Linked DNA regions of Caenorhabditis elegans. The protein of the gene in region 1 purifies or fractionates together with the protein of each later gene. This does not show direct contact. Each region holds a gene or a part of one and is shown on either strand. Other genes may lie near its edges.

What was found.
Region 2: the proteins of jmjc-1 (region 1) and R04B5.7 fractionate together in Caenorhabditis elegans (co-fractionation; one large-scale study listed by BioGRID). This does not show direct contact.

The regions. Positions count from the first base shown.
Region 1 is NC_003279.8:3,621,491-3,638,347, forward strand, and holds jmjc-1 (Bifunctional lysine-specific demethylase and histidyl-hydroxylase NO66), read right to left. Parts: upstream 14,994-16,857; 5' UTR 14,986-14,993; coding exon 14,883-14,985; intron 14,182-14,882; coding exon 13,924-14,181; intron 13,592-13,923; coding exon of another isoform or gene 13,575-13,591; exon of another isoform or gene 13,268-13,574; intron 12,842-13,267; coding exon 12,238-12,841; intron 12,190-12,237; coding exon 11,976-12,189; intron 11,541-11,975; coding exon 10,844-11,540; intron 10,166-10,843; coding exon 9,795-10,165; 3' UTR 9,601-9,794; downstream 1-9,600. Other genes in the region: Y47G6A.32 (MANSC domain-containing protein), read left to right, coding at 2,119-2,270, 3,349-3,597; cah-6 (Carbonic anhydrase), read left to right, coding at 7,981-8,249, 8,411-8,708, 8,756-8,986, 9,032-9,118, 9,166-9,240; T28F2.2 (Protein LAZ1), read left to right, coding at 16,011-16,013, 16,064-16,138, 16,187-16,283, 16,809-16,857. UniProt on the Caenorhabditis elegans protein: Oxygenase that can act as both a histone lysine demethylase and a ribosomal histidine hydroxylase. Specifically demethylates 'Lys-4' (H3K4me) and 'Lys-36' (H3K36me) of histone H3, thereby playing a central role in histone code.
Region 2 is NC_003283.11:10,088,657-10,105,438, reverse strand, and holds R04B5.7 (BHLH domain-containing protein), read left to right. Parts: upstream 1-14,877; coding exon 14,878-14,927; intron 14,928-14,999; coding exon 15,000-15,104; intron 15,105-15,409; coding exon 15,410-15,731; intron 15,732-15,790; coding exon 15,791-16,282; downstream 16,283-16,782. Other genes in the region: ugt-17 (glucuronosyltransferase), read left to right, coding at 541-696, 744-969, 1,022-1,111, 1,262-1,372, 1,423-1,944, 2,254-2,339, 2,379-2,810; C08B6.14 (Purple acid phosphatase), read left to right, coding at 3,423-3,549, 3,597-3,737, 3,902-4,149, 4,193-4,305, 4,350-4,578, 4,790-5,215; Putative UDP-glucuronosyltransferase ugt-47, read left to right, coding at 6,862-7,020, 7,109-7,319, 7,588-7,918, 7,976-8,370, 8,593-9,107; srd-49 (G-protein coupled receptors family 1 profile domain-containing protein), read right to left, coding at 9,128-9,254, 9,404-9,506, 9,553-9,707, 9,751-10,082, 10,423-10,719; R04B5.11 (Transposase), read left to right, coding at 14,187-14,276, 14,340-14,513; R04B5.5 (Sorbitol dehydrogenase), read right to left, coding at 16,521-16,665.

The DNA.
Region 1 (16,857 bases):
GTCCATAGATTTTAATTTCAGAAAATAGATTACAAAATTTTGTAGCTGAGCAGGTTTTAGGTTGAGGTGCTCGCCTACGTGGCGTACCAATAAAATTTGAGATCTCCGATAATTTTAAAATATTTGAAATTGAAATACATACTATTTTTTGTATATTCCCGTTATCATACCTGAGCCACGTGGTGTCAGGCTGACCCATTACGGTTTGATCTAGAAAAAATGCGGGAATTTTTCTCCCAAAAAACGTTACGTCAGCACGTTTTTAACCATGCGAAATCAGTTGAGAAGTTTGCGTCTAAAATCCAGAAATTCCCGCAATTCTCGTAAATCTGCTTAGATCACACCGAAATGGGACACTCTGACACCACGTGCTGAGCGAGAAAATTTGCGCGTAAGATATAGTGTATTCCATGAGTCTCCCTGTAATTTTTCAGAACATTTTTCTGACGTCATATTTTTTCTTAGCCACTCCGAAAGTATATATCTATTTTTCCTCTTTTCAATAATCCACGGCCAAACAAAAAAAAACCGAAACTATCCGGTTTAAAGTATAATCCATGTTCCCATGTTTCGGGAAGGGATACTCGAAAACATAAATGTATCAGCAAAAGCGAGCCTTCCTCGAGTTGTTTGCCCAATTCGAACTACCAGTCGAATCGTTCCGTGCGCGGGAAATGCTCAGCAGCTTCTCCTCCGTATGTGTGTGTGTGTGCTCCGCGAGCACGGAGACAGTGTCGCGGTTAATCCGCGTGTCATACAATCGTTTGTTTTATCGTCGGCTAAACCGATTCTCTCGCGCCTATTTGAAAGCAGCTACCAATCCTGAATTTGAGCATTTGAGCATTCAAAACAAGAAGCTGTTCCCTTTCGGGACGGAAATAATAGAAGAGTAGCTGGGAGAGGAGGGGGGTAGTTGTCCTTTTATTTCCGTTTCTATGGAGATTGAAGCGCGATGCATTGAGACGAGAAGAGTGAAATAAGAAGACGGGTAAATATAAATAGAATGAATGTGTTTTTCTAGTAGGAAGAGATGATGGATACAGGGGAAGGGAGAGCATTTTTAGTTCGTTCTGGAAAAATATCACATTTTTTCTAGTGCACAGCCCGAGAAGCAGCGCCTGTTGGCAATTTTCTATCCTTGACTTTTGTGAAAGTTTTTTTTTCTTCAAAACGGCTGGTGAAAGGTTCTTGAAACATTTTCGGAAAATTTTCGGGTATTCGCAAAATATCTGGGAATTTGTGAACATTTTGAGAAACCGTTGAAGAATTTAAAAAAACTTCAAAAAGTTTTAAACAAATTCGAGAAACTACTGGAAGTTTCAGAGACATTTAGAAAAATTCTAGAAACTCCTGAAAAATTTCAAAAACTTTTGGTAACTTTTAAAAAACTTGAGAATTTTCGGGAAAGGTCTGAAACTATGAAGAATCTAATCTACAGAACCATTTTTGTGAAAATTCGAGAAACTGGTAAAAAAATATGTGTTATTTTTGAAACGTACTGGAAAAATCTAGAATTTTTTTTTGGATAAATTTGTAATTTTTTGAAAATAAAACCACTGGAAAAAAACTGGACTTTTTTTGACATGATTTCCAAATTTCTGAAATTAAAAAAAAAGTTTTCAATTTTGCAAAACAATCAAAAAATTATTATTTGACACTTAAAAATATGTTTATTCCCGCAAAACTGCTAGAAATAGTCTCAGCCTTTCGACAAAAAAAAATCCTTAAAACTTTTAATAATCTACCAATTAAACGTTACCTACATTCAAACCTACGTGCCTGCCTACTGTCAGTCGATGCACCATGTGTGCGCAAACATTCTTTTGCAAAACGGCTACTAGGACAGTTAATCTTAAAAATCTTTTACAAAAAAAACACAAGTTCTACCTGCTACTTCTAATCCCCAGAGTACCGATAGTGCGCCACTCATGCTGCTCTGAGTAAATCTGGAGCCTTGTTTCAAGCTCAGTCGCGCAGCTTAAATTTAATTTTTAAGAGTTTTTCAACACGAGCTTTCAAGTGAAATATGCCTTGTTCAAAAGCCCGGTGGTGCATTCTGACCCTTCCTTAGTGACTCAACGATTACTCATATTCAATAATCAAAATCTTGAATTCCAGATTGCGACGGAGTAACATTCGAAGGAATAACCTCCACAGATTTCGACGATTCCAACTGTCTCCTGGTATCCTGTGAGCCCGAATGTCAATTCAATGGTCCTTCAACTCAACATTCATCAGGCGTTCTTTCAGTACTTATTCACCGTATTAGGGTAAGTCTTTTTTATTCTATTTTCATCAATTTATTTTTTCCGCTTCTTTCAAAACTACGTAGCCATTTCACACGTGAATTATTCAAGGGGGGGGGGGGGGTCGTGTGCATTTGCTTCGACGGCTCTCATGTAATGAGAACTGGGAGAGGGGGGGGGGGGGGGGGTATTACATATTAGTTACCTCCCCTTCCATTTCTCCCCGGGGTAGGTTTTATTACTACTTATTTTACGAGAGGAGGTAGTAATCATTTTGGGGATTATATATTAGTGGCGGAAGGATAGATTTAAAAGAGGGATACAATAACAGATATACGGGTGAATGGAGAAGGTGCTTAATTGAACGTAGCTAATATCCTGCTCTAAAGGTAGAAAGGGAAGTCTGTAGGAAAAAAGATTCTTCAGTGAAAATTACTGAAATAGAAGCTTTAGCCAAATTTCTGATAGAAAATTCTTATTCCAAGATATATTAAAAAACTATCAACTGACAAAGTATTTATTAAAACATGCTTAACAATTTTGTAGTTTACAAAATTTTGATTACTGTTATGAAAACCGAGATATAAGTGGTCAAAGTTGATGATTCCAAAAACGCAGCCGACATAGCTTATGTAAAAGTCTCCTGCGAAACGTCGGCTGCTTTATTTTTTTAATATACAGAATATATATAGAAAATCATGTGCACTTCGAAGCAGCCGACATCTCCCGGGTAGGCCATTGTCGGAGCGGCCTGTAAGGTGTCGGCCGTTGCCACCACCACAACCTTAATGGATTCTATCTCGGTTGCTATTAGTTCTAGAAAAACAGTTTCAACTGTAAAATTAATCAAAGTTCTGTCTTCTATAATTCTGCAACAGGAAATTTTCTATAGTAATAGAAGTAAAAAATATGCTTTCAAAAGAAATCCACTCGTGAAATGTCGGCTGCATTAACAACTGAAAACGTGCAGTGGACATTTACAAAACTTTTACTCTTTTACTCTCAGTATTTTTATGAAGTTATCAAGACAATCTCACTACAAAAATATGTTGCCCATGCTGCTCAGCTTCCAAAAAAAATTTAAAATTTCCAATATTTCCAGAACGAAACAACAACGCCACCAACCCCATCAACAACAAAATCCTCGTACATCCCAGAAATCCGGGCGGCACTAACACCCTTCTGGGTCCTGGCTGTCGCAATCGGAGTCGCTGCAATTTGTGTCGGCCTAAATGTGACCCTGTGTGTCGCGTACTGTTGTTACTGTAGACGAAAGAAACGAAGTCAAAAAGCACATATATCCACTGTAAAGGGTGGACCCACATTGCATGCTTTTAATCCTCAAGTTTGATTTTAGATAGTTTTTTTTTGTTGATGAGAAGTTAGCTGTGTGAGATTTGGAAATTTATGGCAAATTTATAAGGGAAAACTGAAAATTATTCCTTAAAAACTTCCACTATTTTGGAAAACATTTGGGTCCAACTCAAGTAAAATGTTTTTTTTGCAAATTCTGGAAGTTGTTAGGCTTCAGTGAATAACAACCTCGGTCTCAATGCATCACATTTGACGCGCAAGCTCAACATTTAAAATTTGCCCAAATTTGCCATAACTTCTCACTTCTCACCTGCATTTGTATACACCATAACTGATGCGCAAGCCCCTCTAATTATATATTTCCGGTGCTCAAAAGCTCATAATTGTCTGTAAATAGTCTCCATATGTTTCTGAACATGCGGGTAACTTGTTCTATTGTATATTTCCTTTTCCACTTACCTCATCTCTTGCCATTTCAATTTTGAACTACGCACCTTTAATAAAACATTTTTAAAACTAATTCTTGTTTGTTTGTTTGTTTTTGCTTCTGCCATTTAATTTTCAAAATGTGAAAAAGTGAAAGACCAAGTTGAAAAAAGAGACCCCGAGAAGCGCGGGGCGAAAAAGTGATTGAATTTCTGGGGTGCATCCCTTCCTTTCCGCCACGAAGAAATGCTTCCATTTCTCTCGTTTTCCAAAAAACGACGCCACGAAAAATCTCTTTTCCCATTTATTTTATCCCATATATATATTCTTTTTCTCCAATTCCTTGGAGGTTTGAAACATCGAAGAGACCGATAAACACTTGAACTTTTTAGAAAAGTTATAGGAAATGTAGTGCCTGCTGTAGGCACGCTGCCTGCCTTCAAGGTGATCTTTGCCTAGGCTTACGATTAGGCTTGAGCATAGGCTCAGGACTAGGCTTAGGATCAGGCTAAGGCTTAGGCTTAAGCTTAGGTTTAGGCTTGGGATTAGACTTAGGATTAGGCTCAGACTGCGGTCAAAAAATTTTTTTTTTAACGACGACACAGATTTCATAATTTAATTTTTTTCGTTCCCTCAAAATGTGCAAAAAAAAGCTTTACGAACACTCTTTTTCTTGACATTTTGAAATAAGTATTTCTCATTCTTTCCTCCTTCTCATCAACAATTTATGAGCCCTATGTGTTTTTTGTTTTGTTTTGTTTCCCCTCAGGGCACAAAATGCGAGTATTTCTTTTAGTCTTGTATAGTTTTGAAATGCCGCATTTTTTTTCAATTTTGAATTGAAACATGACATGTCTGGGTACTTGACTTTTTAGGGTTTTTGAAATTTTTGAAAAATTGGCTCAAACTCTAGTGAGGTTTTACTAGTGAGAAAATTATATTTCTATTTTATTTTCTGTTTAATTTTAAAAAAAGTCTATTTCCGTCAAATTCGAGCAACCGTTTTATTGCTACGTGGCCTAGAAAAAGCAAAACCTCGGCCACGATTTATTTGAGATTAAAAAAAAATCGATTTTTCTCTCATGAATCTTGCCGAAAATGGCCTTGAATTGGGGTTTTGTTGTTCCTACGAGCCCATTCAAAATTTCACTATTTAATTTCATGATGTGGCCGAGTTTTTGTAAACCGTTATGAAGAATGACTTCAATATCGTGGCAGGACCCACAAAAATCTCGATTTGATCGCCTATTAAATTAGTGACACTTTCAACTAAAGCTGTCTATATTTCTGAGATTTTTAGATAGTATATACACTAAACCGTCCAAGTGGAACATTTTTCAAAACTAAACTTATAGACTTTTCTACTAGAAACCTCAGCCACTGATTTTTCTCCTCAATCAAATCGAGCTACAACCCTCGGAGCACACTTTTTCTGCAAACTGATCCCCATTATCTTCCGGATTCTCATTCTCCTAGAGCTTCACGGGTATCAAATTCTCGACACCTCCTGATCTTCTTCAAAAGATTCCTTTCATTTTTCGTCGCTTTTTTCTCCCCACCACCCATTCAGAATAATTGCAAGTGTATGTGCAGCATGTATTTATGTAAAAGGGAGAGAAGAAAAGAAGAAAATCTAGAAGAATTATCGAAAGCATTGCGGCGGCCCCCCCCCCCCCCCCCACATTCCCTACATCGAAGAATGTGTGCAGCCGAGCAGCTCGAGCAGCCAGTGGTCTTCCTACCCTCTACTCGAGAGAAGGCGCGCGACTCTATCGACTTTTTTGAGCAGGAGGAGGAGACTCTGTTGATACTTTCAACTTTTTCCACTTTTTTTTTCATTTTCGGCAGGTTTTTGGTTTTTTTTTATGGCGGCGTCCGGTTCTTAAACCGGAAGCTGTCTACTGCTTGGTCGAGCAGAAAACTTTTCGGAATTTTAGAATTTCCCTAGGCTTCCTGTTATTTGATTTTTTTAAAATTTCTCCACTAACTTCGAGGCCCTAAATCTTTGCTGTTTTAACTCTACAAAACATACACTAATTGAAAAAATATAGAAAATAAATTTTCACACAAATTCGTAGTTTTACTTTTTAGATAACTTTTAAATCCACAGAGATATGCGCTGTCAAAGTTGGTCAGCGACAGCGGCCGACATCTCACGACCGCGCCTTGGGCTTGTGTAAAACCTTTAGATGTCGGCTGCTTTATTTTTAGTGTACTTTTCCAACAAAAATGCAAAAAACAACTTTTTGTCAAGTTCTAATTATTTGAAATAAATTTTGGAATTTCTTTGAAATTTTTTTTTTTCGAAAATTTGGAGTTAACGGCTTTTTAATACCTCCAACAGCCACCATAAGCAAAGAGTACGGTGGGCATCAACGCCCGACATCTCACGGGCCTCGCCCTATTGGGCTATCGTAGAGCCGTTAGATGTCGGCTGCTTCACTATTTTCACTTGTAGAGTGTTTTTTTTAGAATCTGAACACCTATTTCCCGCCATTATTTTTTTACAAATTTAGTTCTGCAAAACCAAAAACCCCTTGTTTTCTTCCCCTCACTTCAGTCGCTTCGATGTTTTCAATTTCAATTTCAAAGCGTCAGCCACGTCACTTTATAGTCTTATTTAGCCGTTTCTCTATGTTTTTTCCCTTTTGCTTCTTCCATTTATTTCCTTCTTTTTCAATTCACTATGCGCCGCCCGTCATTGGCTGACTTCTTCCCTCCACTGATTCAAATTCTCTGTTTTCCCTTTTCTCTTTTTGTAGCTGTCTTCTGATTTCAAAACGCGAATAACAGACGGTTGTACGAAAGAATTTCGAGCCGAATCACAGGGTTGGTTTAATAACGGGGATTGAAGCGCGTGATTTACTAAAAATTCGGAGAAACCTGCGCGTAAGATATGGTGCATCTCCGACGGGGGGTTAGAGGAATAGTGCAAAAAACCAAATTGATGCACTATGTTTGGCGCGTACTGAAAAAATTTTTAAAGTTCGATTTTTTGCACCAAATATTTTTTAAAGCCAGGTTATGCTCCGTAGAGCATATACCCACTTTTGCCAAAAACAAACTTAATCGTAAGATATGGTGCATCAAAAAAGTGAGCTCATAAAAAAGTTTGCTGACACCAAGACAGTGCACCCTGTTTGACGTGCTACCGAATATACTTGTTCACTTCTGATAACTCTAGAAGTGTATGTAAAATACGGTGTTTTACGGACGTAGGCTAGACGAAAGTGTGCAGACACAATGCACCATGTTTCACTGCTGCGCACCTCTTGCCTGCCTACCGCTTATTTTTGTGCATTTTAGTCAACGCTAAAATCTATTCCATGTGCTCATCCTGATTTTAATATATTTTTTTTGAAAGTAGGCACGTTCAAGGCAGGAAGACGCTAATCAAGTAACTCTAAAATCTAAAATTAAGATTTTGACGCCCAAAAACAAAAATCAGCAAGTTTTTCACGCATAACCGCGCGCTTTCCTAAATTCTGTAAAAAATTCTTCGCTCATTAACTATGGCTCGGCATGACTTTTTGGTTTTTCGTACGTCACTTTTCATAGGCTTTTTTTCGTCGAGACAAAAAATATTCATCTAACATATGTGAGAAAAGTAATATAGTTTCCCTTTCAATGAGCTCTCAATTTCCCCCCTATAAATATCCTATATGCTCGATTCATTGCTCCTTTTCTCATAATAGCTCAATTTCCTTGAGCTTAGATCTGTCAACATTTTTTGCTTTTGAGCTCGCAAAACAAGCTACCAATTATTGCTCCGTTAACTCTGAAAATAATTTTTTGATTTAGAAACAAGCAGGCTTCATAAGGTCGCTTCGGTCGCTGTTAATTTAAAAAGTTATTTTTAAGACATCTTATTCTCTGAAATTTTTTCAAAATTCTGAAAAATCTTATTTTACATCAATCATTTTCCATTTATTTTTAAACCCTAATCTCAATTTTTTCCAGTAATAACCATCTTCATCTCCACCTCCCACCAACCATGGCATTCCTTAGTCAACTACAGGGTGGGTTTGCCCAACTCAAGCAAAAAGCCGAAGCGGCGGCTCCATCAATCGCTGACTCGTTGAATCAATTGAAAGAGGCTCCAAAGTTCATGGAGAGTGCCTTTAAAACTGGATTGAACAAGGTGAAGCTGGATTCATTGGGCAAGGTGCTCAATGTGCCATCGTTGGGAAGGACTCAGTCGCCGATTGATATCGTTCCGGTTATCACTGCGTTTGGCGAGCATCTTCAGAATGCACACTTTGAGTAAGGAGAGATCTAAAACAGGGGTGTGCGGCAAATTCGCCAAATTTATTGCTTTTCTACTTTGTGTGTGTGCCCTCGTTATTTTTAGAAACATTGATTTTGAAGCTTTTGATATTTAAGCGGAATGTTTTTTTCAAAAAATAAAAGTTTCAAAATTCCAGAGTAACCTACGAATCGACCGGTGAATTCAAAGCAGTAAACGATGGCAATTCGATTTGGCTGATGCGTGAGGGTAACAGCAGTGAGCTGGCTATTTCATTCCTCCCAGAAGAGCAATATCATCTGGACGCTGTAAATTTTCATTGGGCAACTGAGCCGATGAACGGATCCGAGCACACAATTGGTGGGGTTGGGTACGCAGGAGAAATGCATCTTATTCATCGGAATACGCGATTCGCCACAATGGCCGATGCTCTCAAACAACCCAATGGGGTTATTGCGATCGCTGTTTTTCTGAATGTAAGTTTGAATGAGAAAGTTGTGACGTAAGACCTCTAAAATTCCAGGAATCCCACGACGACAACGCAGTGTTCAGTCCGTTGATCAATCTTCTACCACAAGTGATCTACAAAGGAAGTGAATGCAAACTCTGCTCATTCGACTTCCAAACATTCTTCCCGGTTGCCGAGAAGACGAAGGAATTTTGGATGTACGAAGGATCGGAGACAACTGATCCATTCCGAGAGACTGTCAACTGGATTGTCATCCGAGCGGCTCTTCCGATTAGTTCTCATCAGGTTAGTCAATGAGACTGGGAAACTTCTTATTTTGATTGTTTCCAGCTCGACAAGCTCCGCGAGGTCCGTGCCGGACGCTACGACGAAGAATTCTCTGATAAGGTCCCAATGAAGCCACTTCGTCCAATTCAGGTATAAACCTCCAAATCAGACTTTAGGCCAGAAAACTTATATTTCAGAACCCCTCCTCTCGTACAATCCAAAGTAGCTTTCGCTCAGTCGCCGGTGCTCCCGACCTCGGATTCCGACAGTGATATGGTACCTCAACCACCGCCAACCGGCTGTGATACTCGTCTTCTCGTTCAGTCATGCTTTCCGTATACTATTTTTAAGACATAACCCATTCCGGAACTTTAAAGGCACATGCTTCAGCAAGATCTACATTTAGATAGAGCGTCATTATGTGCCTTTAAAGCCCCATTTTTCAGATTTGCAATACAATAATCCAAAAACGCAATAACTTCCCCCAGCATTCACATATTTTTGATTCACTTTTCACACACACTTTTCTCTCCAAAAGGTCTCACATATGCCAAGCGTCTTGATCTCTTTTTGAAAAAAAATGTTTAGATGTATAGTTGTAATAAATATTTGGTTAGATTGGGAAATTAAAAAAAAATTTCATTCACAAATAATAATGATAACAAGAAAGAAAGTAATATAACATGAAAAACATTTGACAAGCCTGCCTCCCACGCCTGGTAGGCACGAAGAGTAGGCATAAAAGATGGTAACAAGAAAAAAACAAAGAAACAGTAAAGAAAACCTACTTTACGCAAGTTTTTCAAATAAATAATTCTTTAAAAATTCAATTCTTAACCAAAAGAACCCCAATCTGGAACAAAAGTTGGATGGCTGCCAAGTTCTCTTTTCTGCTCTTCGTCTTCGTCTCTCTCAACGAGAAGATCTCATACAGAGTTCTCCATTCAGGATAAGAATTTGACAGGACCCTATACGCATCAATTCCACTAATCGGATATTCAACAATCTGCTCTGGACGTCCTTCGAAAAGTCGAGAATTGTTGATTCGATGACTAATGAAGCAGGCATCTTCACTCTCCATCAGCAGTCGTTGAGTGTGTCTTCGAATCAAACGAACTTTGGTTCGAGCAGTGAAATCGACGAGGTCATCTCCAAGAAGATTTGTTGATGAGCCAAGGACGCTGAGCTTCTTCTCCTCTAGAAAATGATAAAGTCAGTATTATTGTTTTTGCTGAATTAGGGTTTCGAGGGAGGGGGTCTCGATGAAATCTCACGATCCGAGTTATGACGGAACCAGGTAGATGAGTGCATCGTATCTTACGCGCAACTTTTTCTTGTCACGGGGAGCATATACACTAATTTCTACAGTAGTCGCAATTTTAAATTTAATTTATCCCAAAAACGGCTAGAATTTTTAAGTATGATGCACATGAAAAATTATCTACGGAAAATTTTTATCTACTGGAAATCACCATTGAACAGTAGAGCACACTTTCATGGTCGTATCGTTTGGCGGCCTGTAGGGTCAATGCATCATAACGTGCAAAAATCGCTGACACCTTTATGGTTATTACGAGAAAGCAAAGGAACCGAGCTGTGATGTCACCTGATTGGCGGGATCGATGCACTATGTTTTACGCGTACGCCTAGCCTCTCATGTGCGAGATATCGCACTCTTTGCCCTTCCGGCATGACTCATGGCGGAAGGGCAAAGAGTGCGATATCTCGCACAGCTCAGGCCTATCCTATATGAACACGTACTCGAATGAAGGCGGTTTGGCCAAAAATTAAACTTGCGCGTAAGGTATGATGTATTTCCGTGGCCCAGACATTATGTACGAATAAAACAATTTTTGATAGAAGTTCATAACTTACGTTCAGTCAACCTCGGTGGCAATGCTTGCTTCATAAACTCTTTCGCCAGACTATCCACCGAACTTTCCAAAAGCTGATCTGCCACCAAGTTTCTCAACATGCTCATATGCCTGTCAACAACCATCTTGAACTTCTCGACAAAATGATCCTCTTGTGAATAGTCCAAATCAATAACTCCTCCCATATCAAACAATCCAGTTGGCAATCCACGTCGCAACTTGTGACGTGTGTCAGTGAGTACTCCAATTGCTTCGGGCACTACTTTCTCCATCAAGTTGGCAAAACTCCATTGTCTTCCCGTAGAAACTGTCACATGAAGAGAATGAACTTTCGAATCGGTTCTTGCTTGATGAATGTAGCCTCTTGGAATATAAATCATATCTCCCTTCTCAATCCATCCCTCGAAAACTGGCTCTCGTCCTTTCATATCGTCTTCCGTGAAGTTGTCACTAGACTCAAGTGGAAGCTCCTCTTCAGCTGATTCTGGAGCCCAGACTCTCCAATATTTCCGTCCCTCAACTTGAAGAAGAAACGCGTCGATCTCATCCCAATGTGGGGCAAAACCAGAGCTTCCTGCTGGTGTAAGATAGGTATTTGCACCAACAAAGCATCCAAATTGCTCCTGAATCACTTCACACAGGTACCAGATACGATCATCGTAGGTTTGGGGGTTGACGAGTTGAACAGAGCACATGTTCTGAATTTGAAAAAGTATTGATAGTATTACTAACAAGGGATACGATATTGGTGCGGAAGAGGTACTGTAGGGTACGTTAGTGGTACTGTAGAGGTACTGTTTAAAGTAGCATGTGATCTTGGTACAACAGGGGTACTGTAGGGGTCGCTATTAGTGCAATGGGGGGGGGGGTGGTACTGTATGAAATAGGATATGTTCGTGGTACGGTAGGGGTGCGGTAGGGTTCGCTAGTCGTAATGTAGAGGTACTGTATAAAGTAGCATGTGTTCTTGGTACAAGAGGGGTACAAGAGGGGTACTGTAGGGTTTGCTATTAGTGCAATGGGGGGCTGGTACTGTATGAAGTAGGATGTGCTTTTGGTACTAGAGGGGTACTGTAGGGATCGCTAGTGCTGTGTTATTGTTTAAGTTTCTGATTTTCAGAAAAAAAACCCACATGAAGGTGCTGCTTAACAATTTGCGGGTAGGCACGTCCTTGTCCATTCAACGTAGTTCTAACCCCATTTTTGTACTGTGCAATATTGATATTCCGTCCATACTCCAAATGGTTCTTCTCGAGAAGCTCGCCGAGTCGGGCAGTTGAGAAAAGGTTGCCAAAGTATGTCGGCTGCTTGCGACGCACCACAAGAACATTCGATTGGTAGAATTTGCTGATAATTATTCATTTTTCAGTTTCACTCAAAACTAGAAAAACTTACTCAAAGAAAGTCTGAACATCACACGGCGAAATCATAAATCCAAATGCTCGAGAAGAAGTGACCACGGAGTCTTCATCGGTAAAGGGGAACTTGTCAAAGTCCACGGCTGGGGCGTTACGGGTGAACTTGTCCTTGGAAATCACATGGGCTTCACGATCCTTTCCAGCAATGAATCCCTCGTCATCAGAGTCTGCATCCATTTCTGAGACAACAGATTCTTCGTCAGAGACATCTTCTTCTTCTTCTTCTTGCTCATCAGCTTCTTCCTCCTCGTCCTCAAACTCTTCATCTTCAAACTCTTCATCCTCAATCTCCTCATCCTCCATGTCTTCCTCATCCTCCACTGATTCAAAATTAATATATCTCTCAATATCCTTCGGATCAATCATCATTTCATCTTCATCAATATCAGTTTCATCTTCATCTTCCAGCTCTTCATCACTATCCAGTCCAATCATTTGCTCATCGTCACTTTCCACAACTTCTGTCTTCTTGAACGCAATTTCCCGTCCATTTGAGATCAGAGTCACCTTATTTTCATTATCAGGCTCTTCTACAAAGTATGTGGATCTTGTGGAAGTCTCATTTTGGACAAGTGCTGTGTCTGAAAATTAAGAATAATTAGACACTAGGTTTTTTGGAATTTAAAAAAAAACCAGTTTGCTGGTGTCCTCGAAATGATTTTAAAAATTATTAAAATTAGAATTTATCGCGGAATTTTTAAAGCCTTTTTCTGAAAAATTATAAAAATCTAATTTTTCAGAGAAAGTTTAAAAAATAAATTTTTTTTTTGAAAATTTGGGTTAATTTTTAGAACATTTTCAGAATACCAAATCCTAATTTAAAAAATGTCAGAAAATTTAAAAAAAAAGTAATTATGAATTTTCCGCCAAATACTTTGAACGTATGTAAGAGCAATGTTTTTGAACATTTTCAAATTAGTTTTAATGTTTTTGTAAAATTAAAATCACAATTTCCAACCGATTTTTTCAAAATGAAAATGAAAATTTTTAATTGAAATTTTCTGAAATAGGAGAAATTTTTAATTATTTATTCAAGTAATTCAAAAAATCCAAATTTGGTGAAATTTTTTTAAAATTTACCTCATAATATATAAATTTAATTAGAATTTGAAATTCTTAAACTTTTTTTAAACATATCAAAAACTAAAGAAAATAACAAATATTTTTCAGAGTTAATTTATAGATAATTTCATGGGTCACAAAAAAAAAATCAACAAAATAGTCAACAATTGTACTAGAAAAACCAAAAAAAATAACATTTTTGTCAGGGGACGCTTCGCAACTGAAATCGGCAACTCAGAGATGATTTCGATGTCAGCTAGCTGCTGTCCCTGAACAAAAATCATTCAAAAAATTGATTTGGTAGCCTAGAAAAATGGAAAACCTCGGCCAACTTTTTTACATCAACTAAAAAACAATCCAAAAATTCCAATAAAATGGCCATTTTTACCCGGTTAAAATCTTCTGGATTTGATTTTTAAGGGTGACCTAAAACATATAGCCATGGCTTTTTTGTCTTTACTTCCACGTTGTACTGCGTGACCTAGAAAAATTAAAATTCGGCCATAATTAAAACTGAGGGCTACGCGGCGACCTTGGCCGATTGAGATTTTCTCTGCCAACGATACCCGGTTTCAAATTCTAAGCATTTCTTACAACTCACGTTTATTCTGATTTTTCATCTTCTTATTCTTACTCTTCTCATCTTCCTTTTTCACCTCAACTTTTGGCTTCTTGTTCTCTAACTTTTGTGTTGTCACCTCCACATGTTTTCTCTTGGTTCCTCCATTTTGTTTCGGAACTGGCCCATGTGAAAGAACTCGATCGATATTCAATCCATCGTGAATTCTTTTCACTTTCTCCAGCTTGGCTGGATGCACAAATTTCGGCTCTTTTGAGGGCTCTTTGTAGTGGGAAACAGCTGAAAATGTCAATTGAATTTGACTGACCAAAGATATCTCTTTTTTTTTTGGATCAGAATGTTTTCAAAAAAAATTGGGGATTTTTCCAGAAAATCTGGAAACTAGGAGTTTAATTTTTTGTAAAATTATATTTCCTAAAAAGACTTCATTAATCAATAATTGACTTTTTTGTTACGTACACCATTTAACTAACAGTAGCGTACACTTTTTTACATGGAAACTGAAATTTTTGACGAAAATCTACTCTTGGCTAAATATTTATATTTAGTTGAATTTTGCAGTTTTCCACGTGAAATACACAACCATTTACTAACCTAAAAGTATATTTTCTTGATGAAAAAGAATTAATCCAATGGCCAATGTAAATTTTCAATGAAAAAACATCGATTAGATTTAGGGAGTCAAAAATTGAAGAAAACATTTTCTATCGATGCACCATGTCTATTCCTCACTTTGACAGCGCATATCTTGGCTATTTTTAAGATATCAAACAATGTTCAATTACAGAAATGTAGAAAAATATTCAATAAAAACTTTTTCAGTTGACAGCTTTTCAATGAAATAAAAAGTTAGTGAGATATAAGTAATCAAAGTTAGTCAGTAGAATATTTGACAGAAAATTTCCTAAAATGTCTGCCGTTTTCTAGAATTTGAAAGTCATAGTCTTTAAAAAGCAATTTCGAAGACAAAATAAAAATACCTGCACTTTTAGCTTCACCGAGCTCAATACTGGACCATCTGTCGTTATGCTTAACTGCTGGTGCAGCAGCAGCCGACTTGTTTGAGTTTTTCTTTTTGCCCATTTCGCACTCTGAGAATTTCAAAATCTAGCAAATTTTAAAAATACAATTAAATGCCTATTTTTGAAATTAAATAAAATAAATAAATCCGGCAAAAAACAACAAAAATAAACAACTTTTTAGGCCTCAAATTTAAAGAAAAAAGAGTTCGCGCGGTGTACGTGAGTATCTACTGGTTTGACGGGAAAAGATGGGAAACCTAGGCCACGGCCATCGAGAGACAGTGGGGAGGAAGGAAACCCAGACATTCAAGAAGGGTGGCTAGGGGGTATGGACATATGGAATTGACTGTCTATATTATTGTTGTTTTAATAGGTTTTATCGATTTTTTCCAATGCCCTGGCTATTAGGTCAGCTGTCTTTCTATAAAATTGTTTTGAATTTGATTTATTTTAAATACTTATGTTAATAAAAAAAACATCTAGTTTTTAGATTTCTAACATTTTTTGGTAAATTGCCAAGTTTACGAAAATCTGATCTTTCTGAAAAATATTGAGCAGTTTTGTAGTATTTGTCCTGTTTATAAAAAAGGTAAAATCTTTAAAATATAGGATCTGATAAATCTTTTGGTGAGCTGTTTCTTCTCGATTCACCATGTCTATCATTCACTTTGACTGCCCATATCTTGGTTAATTTTTGGGATATAAAATTATTTTAATTTACACAAAACAGGAAAAGAAATACTAAATGTTTTTCAATTGACAATTTTTTGGTAAAATCAAATACAACTGAGATATGAGAAGGCAAAGTTAAGATAATTTTTTTTCGATGCACCATATCCTTCTTGGCAGCTAGGAAATAGAAAAAACCTCATGTACATGTCTTATTCCTTATAACTTTCTAAAATTTTCAAAAATAGTTTGAAAATGAATATTTCCAGACCTAAATTTGTACCTTGCTTACGACCGTGAAACATCCGCATCTTTCCGTCTCTGCGTCGACATTTCTTCTTTTGGTTTTTTCTCTCCGTCTCAAACTTCTCAAGTTGTTTTTTTTTTTTTGGAATTTGAATTTCGAGTTTTAATAAAATGGTAAGATTCTTTTACAGATTTATGTTTTCTAAACGAAATATTTATTTCAGAAATATCATTTTCTCGGAGACATGGAGTGCCCGTCGTGGCTTCTTGAGGAAATTTGCACGAACTTTTCGAATTTGGTGGGCCTAGATCTAGTTTTTGTGCGGATGAAATAAAAATTCTTTCAGACTGTGCTCAAATTCAAGGAGCTCTGCAATCGAGCATCACATTTGGTTCTCTGTGGACACGACAAGCCAATACTTTCGGATACTTCAGAAGGAATCAGTAAGCTAGTTTTTTGATTTTAAACGTTCAGCTGAAATGCTATGTGGCCACTAAATAAATATCGGTGGCCGAGTTTTTTAAAATTGGAATTATCATAAAATTTGCATTACCTAGCTTTTTGACTTTTCCCGGCCAGCTTCATCTCCAAAATTTGATTTTAATGTGTGCTCTGCCGACAAACAACCGACATCTCGCGATTTTGAAAACCACAGCAAAATGGCCGCGAAAAAAAAATCGGTGGCCGAGTTTTCTTTATTCTAATTTTTCACCCTACATAGTTTAAAAAAAAAACAATTTAGATAGAAAATTCCAAATTTCTACCCTTTCCAAAACTATTTTTCAGAAATTTTAAAAATAGGTGTGAATTTCAAATTTCAATTTTTCAAGAAATATGCACGCAAAAAAAATAATAACTGATTTTGAAAAAGGTTCAGGAAATTCTGCGATATCGAGTTTTTTCCAGAAAATTCACATTAAAAAGAATGGAAAAAAATTTCTCCGAGACCAAAATTTACCAATTTTCAGATTCTGTTAATAATCACACGAATCTCGTTTTAATCGGAAACTGGCTTCT
Region 2 (16,782 bases), on another chromosome or scaffold:
TTAAAACAATATTTGATTCAGGATCAATTGATAAAAATAATAAAACATTACTAAACATACGCTCGGATCTTTTTATTGTGTTATTCAACAAGCGATATTTCTAATCAAAACATACCGAATAAAATTTCAAAGTATCGATTATTCATAATCTTTGCTAACTAATTTTTTTCAGTAGTCCAACAAGAAAAAAACTCATCGATGATTAGAACAGTTTCTCTTTTTCTTCAATGCACTTGAGTAATTTTAACTCTGGCCGTCGCGGGTAAACAAGTGTTGACGCAGGACTAATAAATATTTTTTCTATAATTCAAAAAAAAAACACAATCGCTTCAAATTAACCCTGTCACAGAGATTTAATATTTTTAAACTATACATTTCTGACTTGTACACATGAGTTTCCACTTTATAACAGAGTACGTGAAAACATTAGGTTTTTTGGTGTCTTATCAAACAGAAACCATGCGCTGACCACATCAAGCTGGCAGGAAAATTATTTAAAAAAAGATAAAAACTTTGAATTGTTATTTGGAAGTTTGAACAATGAACTTTCAATATTATATTATTTTTATTCTATTTTCAATAATTGATTATTCAAATTCTTACAAAGTTTTGGTATTCAACCCCGCTTTTGGGGCTAGTCATTCTAATTTTCTCGGAAAAATCTCTGATATTCTCATTGATGCGGGCCATGATGTGGTTAGTTCACTAAAAACATCAAATTTCCACAAATCCCCAAAATTCAGACAATGCTTATTCCTATAGCGATGCAAGGAAAAAAACATTTAGTTGGATCAAAAAAAGTGAAAAATATTATTCGAATTGATCAAGATCCACGAAGTATTGAATTGTATAAGCAAACCGGAGCTGAAGATGTTTTGAGAAAGAAAATTTGGAAAGTTGAATCTGATATTGCGTTGTTTTTTAAAATGGCTGGGAATTTCAGTAAAACCTGTGGTTATCAATGTCAACGTAAAAAAATAATAATAATACGAGATTTTGGTTCATTACAGAAGCATTTCAGATGTGTTTCAGCAGACAGAAATTCTCGAAAAATTGAAGAATGAGCATTTTGAATTGGGAATCACCGAGTCATTATTTATCTGTGGATATCGTGCGTTTTTTAATTTTTATTTAATAGTTTGTCTGTATTTTACAAACAAACTCTTTAAAGAAAATATTTTATTTACTTTCGAATATTGTTTTAGTGATTTTTTCTGCTCGTTTTTGAGTAATGAAATACGGAATATTTCTATTATTTCAGCATTATTTGATCACCTCGGTGTCAAAACTATCATAAATGCAGATTCAGTATTATTCATGGACATAGTTAAATGCACTCTTGGTGAACCATCATCTTCAACTTTTTACCCAGGTTTGAGCATTGTTCAGTTTATGATACTTTAATCATTACATCATTTGAAGCTCTCATCTCACCAATGACTGATAAGATGACTCTGGTTGAAAGAATAAAAAATGCAATACAGATGTTGATTCCTGTATATTTTTCAAAAATGCGATTTGAAGAAGAATTAAGTATGATAGAACCGTATTACAATGGATCAAAAACATGGGAAGAACTCTTGGAAAATGTGGCATTCAATATGGTTAATTCAAACAGATATTTGGATTATGCAAGTCCCACTCTTCCAAAAACAGTTTTTATTGGAGGAATGCAAGTGAAAACAAAGAAGCAAGGAACACCAAAGTTAAACAAAGAATGGGATGATTTATTAAATATTCGGAAGGAAAATGTTCTTGTTTCTTTCGGATCAAATGCATTTTCATCAGAAATGCCAGATGAATTTAAAAAATCATTTCTCGATGTATTTGCATCAATGCCAGAAATAACATTTATTTGGAAATATGAACAAGAAAATTCAACAATTGCAATGCATCTTTCAAATGTGAAAATGACTACTTGGATGCCTCAAAGTGATTTATTAGGTAGGATCATATTATTTTTAAGGATAAAGTCGTGTAAAAAAAAGCCTTTCGTCATTTGAAAAGTTGAGTAAACGCCAAAAGTCATAGTTAAATTGGGTCAGTTAGATGTAAGAAAAACTATGGCCTATAGGCACAAAAATGCATACCTACACACCAGACTAACAAAAAATACACGAATTTCTTTTAAAAAAAACATAGTTTTAAGCCTCTTTATTTGAAGAGTTATTACATACTTAACCGAGGGGTCACTTTTAACGGAAAAAAGTATCACGAAATTCCAAACAATATTAACAAAAAAATGGAGTTTAGCTGACAATCGACTGAGCCTGTTTGTAACTCATGGAGGTTTGGGAAGTTCTATTGAACTTGCTTATCAAGGAACGCCTGCAGTTGTTGTAAGTTTCGTTTTTTTTACTAATTTTATAATTTTATAGAACATTTTCAAGATCCCATTGATGGCTGATCAGCCGAGAAACGCTCACATGCTAACGCGTCACGGCGGAGCTATACAACTAGACAAGACAAATCTTGATAATCCACAAATGATTCGTGACGCAATTAAAACTATTTTAGATAATGATAGCTATACAGAAAACGCCAGAAAACTAGCACAGATTTTGGAGGATCAACCATATACTCCAGCCGAAGTTGTCCTAAAGCATTGTGACTTTGCAGTAAAATTTGGGGTATTGGACACTTTACAGTCAGAAGGAAGAAAATTGAATGTATTTCAATTCTATTCGTATGATATTTTGGTTGTTGTTTGTTTTTTAATCATCACTGTTGTCGTTTTTATCGTTTTATATGTGTTTCAATGTATTAAAATTTGTTCAACTATTTTCAGCAAAAAAGTTAAAAACGAATAATGTTCGAAAATTAATTCTAATAAACATTTTTTACTTTATCAATATTTTATCAAATTTTATCAATTATAAATAGCTTCTTCGTTCTCACAATAAAAAATCCTAAAATTTTAAAAAGGCTTCAAAGATCCGACTCACCGTCCACAGGAGCAATGAGAAAGTGTTTATCCTATTTTTCAAATACTTACTGAAGTTTGAAAATTACGAGATCTACAGTTTTGGTAACTTCAAGCTGTTATCACATCAACGAGTTGCTATTAACATCATTTCAAATTTTCCAACTCCTCTGTTCAAACACAATAATCTATTTTCAATATTTAAGAAAGGAGCAAACCTCATCAATCACGCACATGTCATCTGCTAATTTTGAATACAAATATAACATTTTGGTCTTACGACCAAAAACTGTCTCTTCTTCTCCTCCCGCATCAGCTTCTCTTGCAAACTTCAACGCGTCATACACAACTAATCATGTCCAAATATGCGAGCAATTCTCAAATTCACTGGTCTGCAACTTATTTTTCGCCAACAGATCACACACATACCGTTTCCTTAACAAAAGATAAGACACTAACTATAAAATGAATGCTCGGATTACTTCCGTGTATCTCCAACATGAATACAGTAATTTTATTTGTCTTATTTTTTACTAGGCACGTTTTAACACTACCAGAACAAGTTCATCTTGCCTTTTATACCAGTCCTTGGGACATTTCAGTTAGCTGGATAACATTTGAAAATGGTAGGTTTTACTTCTTGCGTTGATCTCTTCAATATAAATTGATACAGCTGAACCATCGTTGACATATGGAACTTCATCTAAATCTATGTTAAATGTGACAGGAACTACAAATACTTGGATATTTGGTGGTATAACTCGCCACTCCCACGTTGTAATTTTAAAAAACCTCAATCCATCAACTCAATATTGTGAGTGAAGTCTTTATTCTGTGATAAACTATCACTGAAATTGCTCAGATTTTTCCAAAAATTTTGGCTATACAATTTTTACATATAGTGCGGGCAAAACATATTTTATCCCGCAATTGTTTCCCTGTTTACTACATTTTCTAGAGAAAAAATATTCTATTCAGATTATCAGATTGATAGCCGAAAGTTTAATTTTCGTACACTACCGACCGATTTAACATCATACAAAGTTTGTGTATTCGGTGATCTTGGTGTATACAACGGGAGATCTACTCAAAGTATTATACATAATGGAATTGCTGGAAAATTTGGCTTTATTGTACATATCGGAGACTTGGCTTACGACTTGCATAGTAATAACGGAAAGTTAGGAGATCAATATATGAATTTATTGGAACCAGTTATATCGAAAGTACGAGTTCAGATGATTTCATCGCAAAATTAAACATTTTTAGATTCCTTATATGGTGATTGCTGGAAATCACGAAAATGACAACGCAAACTTCACAAATTTCAAAAATAGATTTGTGATGCCACCAACTGGATCAGATGATAATCAGTTTTACAGGTACACCAAGTTAGCAAGTTTTAAAATTAGAATATTTAATTTAGTATTGATATTGGACCAGTTCATTCGGTTGGATTAAGCACAGAGTATTATGGATTTGAGGAACAATATGGAAACGCTTCGATTTTCACCCAATTTGATTGGCTCACAAAAAATTTGAATGAAGCCAACAAGAATAGAGAAAGTGTACCATGGATTGTAATGTATCAACATCGACCGTTTTATTGTAGTGTGGAAGATGGTGATGACTGTACTCTTTATGAAAATGTTGTTGTAAGTTTATTCATAGGAAAAGTAGAAAACTGACATCAATTACTCACACGCGATCTGTCAAATTTTGTTTTAAAAATCCAATTTACGACGTCTTACGTCTACAATGAGATGATTTGATTGCCCTCGATCACAGAGTATTATCAGTGTATTTCAAGTGAATTTGTTGAAGTTTTCAACAAAACGTAGTTTAAACAAAATAAAAATTTCACAGCTTCGTCACGGAGCATTTGGAATTCCGGGACTTGAGCAAGAATACATCAAAAACTCAGTAGACATTGGGTTTGCTGGCCATATGCATGCTTATGAAAGAATGTGGCCAGTAGCCGATATGAAATACTATAAAGGATCAGAAGCATATCACAATCCAGTTGCTCCAGTCTATTTTCTCACTGGATCGGCAGGTTGTCATTCTTCTGGTATGAAGTTCAGTCCAATTCCAATGCCATGGAGTGCTCATAGAAGTGATGATTATGGATATACTGTAATGACAGTCGCTAATACAACTCATATTCATTTTGAGCAAATATCAATAGATAAGAATGGAGATGTAATTGATTCAATATGGATTAGCAAAGACCTCGGGCATTTCCATACAAATAAAATGAGGGAGAATGCTAATGGAAAAATGTTTTATTAAGAAATCATAGTTTTTTTTTATTCTCGCAAACCGCATTATTCACAAATTAATAAATTTGTTCATGTTTCTTCAATAATGATAATTATCCTAAAAACATTGTTTGACGTTAATACATGAAAAAGCTGCAATCAGAGTTAGAGGTCTCTTTGGTAATGAATCACTGTTATTGACGATAAACACAGAGAATGAAAACTAATTAGGCACTTACTTTTCCATCTTCTTCTGATCCTTTTTCTGTGTTTTTTCTCAAACATATGTCTATTTGATTTTTTCAAACCTTCAGTTTATTCCGTTAAAAACTCTTTTTTTATCATAAAACTTACTGGAATTTTCAATAAAATGGAACGAAGCGTTCATTTTTCTGGGGAAATAATAAAAAATTTTCTTGAAAACACTTCTTTGGCGTTTTGTAATTTTCATATTTTCATATCCCTTTCTTTGATTTAACAATGAGATACAGTGCACTTTCTTTCAATTTAAGGGTTTTATTCACGATATTTAATTTTGAGTAGGACTTGGTCTATTATCTCCTTGAAACCAGAACGTCTCGTGGACGATCTTAAGTTTAAGATTCTCCGGGGATTTTTGTCAAATATTTTAAATAAATTATATTGCGGTTATGAAAATATGCGTTGACCAGATACTTTGAAATTCTGGATGTTTTCAATTTTTCAAATGGATACGTCAAAGATATGTCAACGAACAATTGAATTTCGACTAGAATGTTAGCTAAAGTTGTTTTTTTTTCATCTGATTGAATAATGTATAAAGAAATAACTAATCTTCGAGTACTCGTTTCCCTTAACACTTGTTTAAAGAAAAAAAAAGAATCTGTTTAGTGAAATATAATGGGATGTTTAGATATTTTTGTCTGTGTTCGTTTTTATTGGAATTTAATTTTTATTTTTATGCTCTGAAAAGTTCTGATATAGTGTTAATTGTTATCATATTCATAGAGATTCCGTAATATCAATAATTCACTAATCTTTAAGAAATTTTTACAACTTTTGAACCAAAAATGAATTTGTCTATTGTTTCTCAATGTGCCAACGACATTCAAATGAAAAGTAAAATATCATTTTTGTATCGGTCCAATGCTTACATGAATAATGTTTTTACAATTGTCACGTGGATTTTAACCGCTATGGTAAGATTCATGTTTGCATAAAACAGACAACCACATTAAAAGTCACTTTGAAGGCATTGAAACAATTATGTAAAAGAGCAATATTTCCAAAATCTACACATGTTCTGATGATTCTCAGTTTGATTGTTACCAGCATACATGAATTAATTTATGGAATAGTACAGGTATCATGATAAAAAATTTAAAAATTGATTTTTTGAATGATTTTCAAAATTGTAATATTTATAAATGTACCACCTAAAATTTTTGATAAAGGATATAGGTTGAATTTTCAAAAAAAAAACGTGTACATTGCATAAGTGATCATTGCTGCAGATATGAAAATAACAAACTACAAGATACGTTTTGGGTTCCTGTGACATGTACGCAGTTCTTTCGTTAAAACGATACGCTTAAAAAACTTGAATGGCATTTGTTTATTATTCTAACTCTCTTCACTCTCGTTCCTCATTTATAATTGACCAGTTAATCAGTAAATAATCATTTTATTGTATTTCTAATGTTTCGCTATCATTCAATACTATTACTTGCTATACTGTACTTCTTTGAGTATGGTTTAGCATACAAAATTTTAGTATTTTCCCCCGCAACTAGCAAATCACATTTAATATCAAATGGTAGGATTGCTGATGAATTGGCAAAAGCTGGGCATAATGTAGTAAGTGATCTTTTTGAAAAATAATGAATTCTATCAAAAAATCCAAAATATTCGAATCAAATCAGAAAAATGCATTTCTCAAATTCAGACTCTACTAGAAATTGACTTTCTGGGAATTGTGGACTCTACAAAAAGTGCAAAACTCGTGAAAAAAACAATTGTCAGAGTACCAAAGAAAATGCAAGGATTCAAAAATGTAATTCAAAGCTTCTCAGAAGGAGTGATGGAAGATGAAGGATTGTTTGAATTATTGAAAGGAAATATTGCATATCAGACAGTATACAATGATTTATGTGAAGGTATTTAATTTCTTGTTGTTACGTTTTATTGGAGACTTAGAAACAATGGCTTCGAGAATTTCAAACTCCCGCGAATATGATTTTAAGCGAAATTTCAAATTTCAAATTTCGCTTTTGTGTTTTCAACGTAATCAAGCAAAAATGCTAATTTTAAAAAACCTTTCATAGCTTGTTCATTCACTTTTGATTATCAGTTCTAATACACAATACACAATAACATCAAAAACCATTGTAGTTCCGATAAGTTTTAATGCCAACTTTTTTCCAGAATTTCTTGAAAATGAAGTTATGTTCAACAAATTGAAAGATGAAAACTTTGATGCTTTCTTCGCTGAACAACTGAATATCTGTGGTTTCGGATATGCAAAAGCATTAGGAATTCAAAGAAAATTTTTAATATCTAGTTGTCCATTCTTTTCCCATGTTTATGATTACACCAGTCATCCTGCTCCCTATGCCAGTGTACCGTTCATTTCGGATATGAGTCCTGAGCCAACTTATCTGGAACGTACAAATAATCTTTTGCGAGGAATTACCATTAATACATTTTTCTATTTTTCTCATAATAGACTGACGTCAATATTCCGGAAGAAATTCGGGTCAGTGAATTTTCTGTTGGATTTGTAATTTCTGATCAGATGATAGATTATTTTAAGAGACGACTTCCCTGCGATTACTGAGATTGTACGAAATGTCGACATCATTTTTCTGGCAACAGATGAAATCATTGATTTTTCATCTCCAACATTACCAAATCTTGTTCACGTCGGTGGACTCGGAGTTGATGATGACACTACAGAAATGGGCCCAGTTTTTGAAGCTGAAATGAAAAAAGGAGATAAAGGAGTCATTTACTTTTCACTTGGAACCATTGCCAACACTTCAACAATTGATAAAAAAGTTATGGAATCGTTTTTGGAAATTGTTAAAAAGTTTCCTGATTATCATTTTCTGATCAGAGCAGACAAAAATGATAAGAACACAAAAGACAAGGCAACGGAAATTTCGAATGTCTTTGTTTCTGATTGGTTGCCGCAACCAGCAATTTTACGTGAGTTCTCGGTCACATTTACACCAGTACAAGCAGCCAAAGTACTTTCTGATTGTATCTTCATTCAGAATTTTTTAGTATAAAAAAATTTCTGAAGTATTATTTGTATTATTGTGTTTGTATGAATCTTCCAAAAATCCATACAAAAAATTTAATCCGTTGAAATCTTGTGGGCTGGAAAAATCAAACTACATTAAAAGTCTGATAATCAAATACATTCAGATCATCCCCGCCTTCGTACTTTTATTACACATGCTGGTTACAATGGTCTTATGGAAGCAGCTCTTGCCGGTGTTCCATTAATTACGATTCCATTTATGTTTGATCAGAATCTAAACAGTCGAGCAATCGAGAAAAAAGGATGGGGAATTAGAAGAGACAAAAAACAATTCCTCACGGAGCCAAACGCCATTGAGGAAGCTATAAGAGAAATGCTCACAAATCCAAGTTATACGAAACAAGCACATCGAGTACGTGACTTGATGAGAAACAAACCCATGGGAGCAAGAGACCGATTTATAAAAACAACTGAGTGGGTTATTCAGAATGGAGGAGTTCATGAATTGCTGACTGAAGGAAGAGATCTCAGTATCATCAAGTATTACAATTTAGATATCATTGTTCCATGTTTCTTTGTTGCTTTTTATTTCATAATTTTCCCATTTTTCAAACTCTTTGGAGGATTTTATTATTACAGTTGTTTTGGTCATATTGAATCAAAATACAAAAAAGATTAATGATTTAAATAAATATTTTATCACGTTTTTCTTGATACCGCCCGAACTGCAGAATACCCATTTCCTTTAGACATTATGTCATTGTCTGATAATTTTGATAAGCTGAACCTGCATTGGCGAACTGCGAGAAGATATTTGAAGAACATTCTGAAATTATTAAAGTTAGAAAAAATGTGCTCAAGTTGTCAAGTTTATTAAGAATATTCTCCAATTTTCAAAGAAAATACAAGCAAGTTACAGTAGTATAATATTTATTTAAAAATTGGAACTCATTGTTTTTAAATACAAAATCTTACCGCCTGAAAGGTATTACAAATACAATTGATAGAATTGGATCTATCAAAGTTGGGAGAATTACCAGAAATGAATTGAAGTACTCGAGTATTAACACACCAGCTTCTGAACATGAAAATCGCATTTTAAAAATAATTGTTGACTCGTTTACCCGAATATTGTGTGAGAAAGAATTGTACGACCAATGGTACAAAACAAATACTTGGAATTAAAGTTTGAATTGTCAATCCCGTGATCATACTCTTCGCATGTTTGATTCGTGGAGATTTGTATTCTTCGTATTCATTTAAAAGTCCCCATATCTTGCTGAAAGGATATTTCATAAACCTTTTTAGAATAATAAACTCACTTGCGATAGATAATTGCAGCTAGTGGGTTTAATACTAAAACAATTGTGAAAATAATAGTAGATGCTTTGACTGCAGGAGACGTCAACGCTGAAAACCCAAAAATTGAGTTTTGCTCAAAAATATACGACGGATGCAGAGCACGAGTTTCCAAAACAATTGCATTGTGCTGAGATGGATTTATAAATTGACAGATTGCACAGAATATAGCAGGTAGATGCACAATTATGAAGTTTCTCATTATTTGGACTGATGAAAGTTTTTGATGGGATAAGATTTTATACCGATAGTAGAATACATGAACAATTGCAAAAAGTGCAACCATTGAAGATGCCTGAAAATATTAAGAAATGATCTCTGTTAGGATGTGGCTGTAGACAAGAAATATGATTGAATGTCAAACTGAAATTTGAGCCTATTTCAAGAATAGTGTAGTTCATATTTTATGAGAATTTTTCCAGAAATTAAAAAATATTTTTCCATAAAAATAAACGTTAATAAAAAATACAATTAACTGATTTTAATTGGGCAAATAGTTAAAATTTTTAATATTTATATTTGGTCATTTTGGCTTTCGTTGTTGTATCTCAATTTCTTTGGAACAGAAATATTTCGCAAATGCTCTTACATGTTTTCTGAGTTTTCACTTAAAAATTCAATAAAATTCAACTCACATCTCTTAATAAATGCAGTAGAAAACACGAACGTCTTCCAACTCTGATGCATACACCTGTACATACAAATGCCACTGTTGTTTGATTTGGAATCATTCGACATTGCGTTAGAAATCCCGAAATTATAGTTACAACTTGGGCGGCACATATATTTAAAAGATAAATTCGCATTGTTCGTAAAAGTTTTGTTTGATTTTTGAATATGAGCAGAAGTAACAAAGCTTGTGAGAAGAGAACACTGATTGCAAAAATTGGATAGGCAACATTGATGAAGGCAAGTATGTCTACTTCTTTCATACTCTGTTTAATCTGAAATTAGAAATATTTTAGAGATGAAAATATAGAACAAGTAATGAGTATGTAATGACGAATATCTCGGATTACTAAATAGGTGGGAAATGTGGCGGGCATCGAAGGACACGTGAGTGTGGGAAAAATGGAAAATAAGACGAAAATGTTGTTAAATAAGGGACAGATGATGAAAACTGGAGTCATAAAACTTATATTTTATTGAAACTAGAAAAATTAAAAGGTGTGGCCATCGAGCAAAATCAAGATAATTCAAAAACATTTGCACAAAGTTCCCGCCTTCGCTTCGAAAAGTGTCATAAGAATGAAGTGGAAGCAAGTAGAGCGGAATGCAAAAAGCGGAAGTGCAGAGAGATCGAAATATGCAGGATTATTATGCGAGTAAGCTGAATTTCAAGTGTTCTATGGACAATTGAATTAGTGATATGTAGACGACTTCTGGTAACTTGTAAAATTTGCTAGCAGAGCATCAAAAAAACGTTCGCGAATTTAAGTAAAACGGCGCATTAGGTTGTCATAAACTCTAAGCTTCACATTCATATAAACTCTAAATCTAGCTAAAGTTTAATCCAAGAAAAAGTTTGAGTCCTGAGATTTGTTATGGCGAAAACAGAGAATGGACACTTGTTTTAATTTAATATCTGTTAATTTAAGTCAAACCAACTTCGAAGTCTCAGTACATCTCACCGGTACTTTCTTTGATAGACGAAACTATATCTGAAGGAAACGCATACGGAATGAGAGGATCGATGACGGCTAAAAATGGCTCCAAAGTATATACGATATATATATATATATATATATCGAAAGAAGATTTGAGCTACAATGTCGTTACGTTACAAAATTATTTTCACGAATTTTCAAAATTTCCCAAAAGCAGCGAATCGCGTGTCGTGATTACAACAAAAATGGGATTCCTCAAAATATGCCCAATAGCTGCTGAAAAGTCGCAGATGGCTGTTGGGATCGCATAAAACGGCTGAACGGTCGATTTGCAGGCAAACAGCTGACGAAAATTCAGTTTTTTCTGAGAAAAAGAGTTTTAGTGGCTTCTAACGGTAAGTTGATTGTTTCTTGCGTGAAACTTGCGTTAAACATAAAACAAACAAAACGTAAGATTTTGAACAAAATTAATTTCGAGCTGGAGGTCAATCGGATTAAAGACCGTTTGCTTTTTTTCAGCAGGAATTGAGCAGCTTTTCAATGTTCCCACTTTACCTGTAATAAACCTTCTCAAAAAATTCTAAATTTGATGTAATTGTGTAAACTCATTGCCGGATTTTTTGTTGATTTAGGCAGATCTCCGTCTTTTGATAACCAAACTTGATAACTTTCGGATGCATATAAATCGAAAATGTGCGAAAATCTACAAAAAGTGAAAAGTTCGAAATTAGCAATCAGAATATCTAAATCAGGCAAACAAAAATTAATTTCCGGCTTTTTAGTTTCGCGCAACTCACGCCCGCCTTTGCGCACCTTCCAGTCTTGTACCCCCTAAAAAACTAAATTATTCAAAACCAATTCAATTTTTATCTGCACTAAAAATACATAAGAATTAAAGTTTTCGTTTGTGAAAAGTCTCAATAATACGGTTGATAGGAGATGTTTGAATTGACGATAAAGATTGACATTAGACAGAAATACATGTGGGCTTGACAGCATTCCCTTGAAAAAGTTCGAATAAAAAGCAATCTTTTGTGCTCTATTGTTGAAATTTCCCCCCGCCGAGTAGAAAGTTCTCAAATTTAAAATAGACGCGGAAGAGTATTTCACTATTTCTGAAGTATCTCGTTTTCTTTAAAACTGAACCATAGAAAATATCTTGTTTTTTGTTGCAGTCTTTATGTTCAGATTTTATTTTAGATTTTATATAAGACCATCACAAGATTTGGACAAAATAAAACTACAAACAATTGACATGATTTGTTCAGACTGACGAATGGCAGAGTCTGACGTTTCGACAAATTTCTGTGCATGGGAATCTCCCGAAATTCGATATCTCTTTATTCTCAAAGAGCACAGTGGTTTCGTTTTAGTCAAACTGCATATCTTCAAAGCAAACCACGTGGCTTCCACGCTTGCACCAATGTCTGTTTGCTTGATCAAACAAGAAATCTCATTTACATGTCCTCCGACCTTTAATCCTCATATTGCAATCAACTACTTCTGCTTTTAGTTTTTCAATTTCGTCACACTCATTCCCCCAACATCATCAACGCACAACATGTGCGAAAAAAAAACTTTGAGTATTTTGTTTTGCGTGGGGCATCGAGAGAAAGAAGCCGACTGATTCATCCAGCAGTCGTTGTTTTGTTTCTTTTTGGGCCGCAGTGGGCGGTGGGAACAAAGAGATTCTGAGACGATCAACCTCTTAGGGGGTATTTTGATTGAAGAGGCAAAGAGAGCTAAGAAAAAAGATTGCGTTTGCATGTTTTTAAGGTTAAAGGAAAATGGGAAAAGTGGACAAGAGATGTGCAATTATTTTAGCACGAGTTAAACATTAAAAAAACTTGATATACTGATAAAAAAATATTTGTCGAAAAAAGTGACTAAATTTTTAATGTCGAAAATAGTAGATTGTTCATTAAAGTTTTAAGAAATCACAGAAGCGTATTTAACTTAGTCACAGTAAAACATAAAAACAAGTATTACGTCAAGTTAGAAAAAATGTTTTCAGTTACAGTTGAATCACTTTTGTCTGAAATAAAAATCGCTAGGTGAACTGAAAAATATGAGTTTCAATTAAAAACAAATATAATTCTGGTAAGAAACATTATCTTAAAGTTCGTTTTAAATGATAGTTTTAAATAATGGTTTCTATTTAAAAAAAATGTATTGCTTGAATAAACTAATGATCTTTGTTCTTACAATTAATTAAACATCAGATCCTAAGATGAATTCAAAACAAATTAATTATCTTGATGAAATAGGCAAGTATGGAGTGAGCATGAATAGAAGAAATAAGATTCCATTAAAATCAAATAATGAAGACTCTGAGATCCTGAACTTTTGATTCATAAAAAATGGGAGCATTCGATTAAATTATACAGTAAACACTACTTGTACTTAAAATAAAAAGAAACACTGCCAGTTCTTGTCTGACATAAATGTATTATTTTCGATTATTGAAGAAGAAGGGCGGAATGTATTTTCATAAGATTTTTTCAGATTTAAAATAGAAACCTATACTTTATAAAGCCATTTTCAAAAGTTTACAGTATAAACGAGGATTAGAACAGAAAACTCGTAGAGGTTTTTAAAAAATATTTATCATTAAAATATGAAAAATAAAGTAAATTAATTGAAATAATTTAATAGAAAAAACCAAAAAGTTGCCTTTTCGTGACACCCTACCAACTACAAGAAATGTGTTTAAAATTCCACGTGTTCGTACCGCACAAACAATAAGAACGTACATTGTTCTCTTTCGTCGTCCGGAGAAACGGTGGTTTCGTATGGTGTCTGTTTCGTTGAAGCCATCGGCTCAAAAATATGAGCGGGACAAAAGACAGGAAGATGCTCAAAAAGTGACACGACAGAAAGAGGTTAGCTCGACTACAATTAGTTACTTATGTGAATTGGCTTGATTGTCATTTTCAGTTTTTTAGTTATCAGACATGAACCATAAATCGTGCCAATTGTGTTTTGAATGGAATTTCAGAAACAAATCAAGAAGGTGGGAATTGAAAATCAAAAATCTACAAAGACTCGTTACAAGCCACCTAAAAAAGGAAAACCTTCGAGAAGAATTGAAATGCCTCCACGAACTGAACAAGTTATAATTGATATACTTGAAACGCCAATTGAAGGATCTCCATTGAATCCAGTCACCGATATGAGAATCGTACCACTTACCATCATCCGACTCAACTCTGAAATTCAAATTCCAGTGCTGGATCTTTTCTAGCTATAACATCAGCTACTAGTTATGATTTGTTTTACTATAGATCTCACATATGTTTTTTCTATTTTCTTGTAAATATCTGCATCTTATTCCAATGAAATCATTCAATTTCAACACATGTAGACATCACATATGGCCGAGGTGGTACGGTACCCGGTCAAACTGTGGGCGTGGTTTAGAAATTCATGTCGACTCGAGAGTCTATTGAGAACATTCATTCATTATTTTATAACTCGTTTAGAATGGATTCCCATCTGAAAACTATCGATGAGAAACATGCAGCTCGTTGCAAGTAAGTCTTTTTCAATATCAATTGGAAGGCTTATTTGAATTTGATTTCAAGTTCTAAATTTCGTGTTTTCAGGTACCAAAATGAATTGCACAAAGAGAAAAAGGACTTCATTGTCAAATTGAAAATGCTCTTGCTACCACAAAAATTGGTTCAACAGGAAACTAGAATAGTTCTCAAGTAAGTGGGATAAACGTTGATCAAGATTAGAAATGAGTTTACTTTCACTATCGTACATGAAACACTCTCATGACAATTTATAATCTGTGCAGTCAAATTTATAGTACCTTGTCACTGTGGTGGTACGGTGTCGAGTACTTTAAAAATTCTGTTTTTTGAGAATAAAGAAAGGCGCACTATAACGAATATCATTTGGATATTGTAGTGACACCGTAAGGGTAATTCAAGGGTGTTGTAGAATAAAGAAATGGTACTATTTAGACAAATTGTAAAATACTGGAATACGTTTACGATCTCAATTTCAGAGCTATACGCCAGTTGTTCGAAGAAAAGTTCCCGGAACGTATTGGGAAGGATAATGGTTGTCTGTTCCGTAGAACCGTTGAGGTGAACTGTGTCAGAACTTCCGTTTGGGCAACTTCGGACTTCTCCAAAAACGTTGACCTTTTCCATACGAAACTGTGCCAAGACAAATCGTTCAAAACGGATATTAATACATTTTCACCAATTCCTATCAGGAAGACGATAAAGAAAGAGGCACCAGTTGAATCCCCATTGGAACATCCAAAAGTTGGTTTGAATTCTATGCCGATTGATAACAGGCAATATGGAGATTGGAATATGAATGTGAGTTTTCAAATGAAGCATTCTTGGACAATTTGTTTTAACTATTTGAATGATTTCAGCTTAGTACACACAATACTGTTTCCTGGCATGTTCCTGTTCCACCTGCTCCACAGCCAATGCTGCAGGCAACATACCCGGAGCAGAGAACGGTATTCGGTCCTTCCTACCTTCAACAAATGGACTACAAGCATCATGCTCAAGAACTTTACAACTTCTCAACTGATTACTTGCTCACCCTTCCCCCGCCACTTGGGAATTCTTCAAACCTTGCCACTTTGCAATCCCAGTCCAATTGGTCAAACAATCAACTGTTTGTGCCACCAGCGCATCACATGAATCCTGCCAACACACAACAAATTCAAGTTAAAAATGAACCATTGGACTATTTGGATGAAATGCTCTTCAATCACAACCAAAATATTGAAGCCAATAATTTGTTTGTTCCACCCTTCGATTCATCCCTGCTTCAGCCATTCGAGCCGCCATTGACTGACTTTTTCTCCCAGCCCAACTTTCTTTTTGAAACTATGAACTCCTTCTCTTCACTTTGAACACATTCTCTGAAGACAAAATTTGATTGCTTTACTTTTTTTGGTATATGTTTTCAACTCGAATGACACAATCTCCAACTTTATAACTTCCAAATCAATATTTCCCACTGGCTTTGACATCATGTTTCCTCTCGGCATTTTAATATGTCCTAAATATTCTCTTTAAATCATTTATTCCAGTTTTAAACCATTAGTAGGACATTGTGAATAAAGATAATTACATAATAATTTCGTATTATCAGCATTGAATAAATACTTTGATGACATCAGCCTTCTGTGTTCTTTTGAATGCTTCTTGTGTTTCTTCAAGTTTATAGTGAGCACGTGTTAGCCCCGACAAATTTAGTTTTCCAGATGAAATGAGTTCGATTGCTGTTGGGTAGCTGAATAATCAAAGTTGTTTCAAATTTTATTCATTCCATTTCAATATTTTGTATTCTCAGAAGTTATAGAAGTGATCGGGTGTTTCGATGATCTTCAAATAATTATGTTCTTTGGCA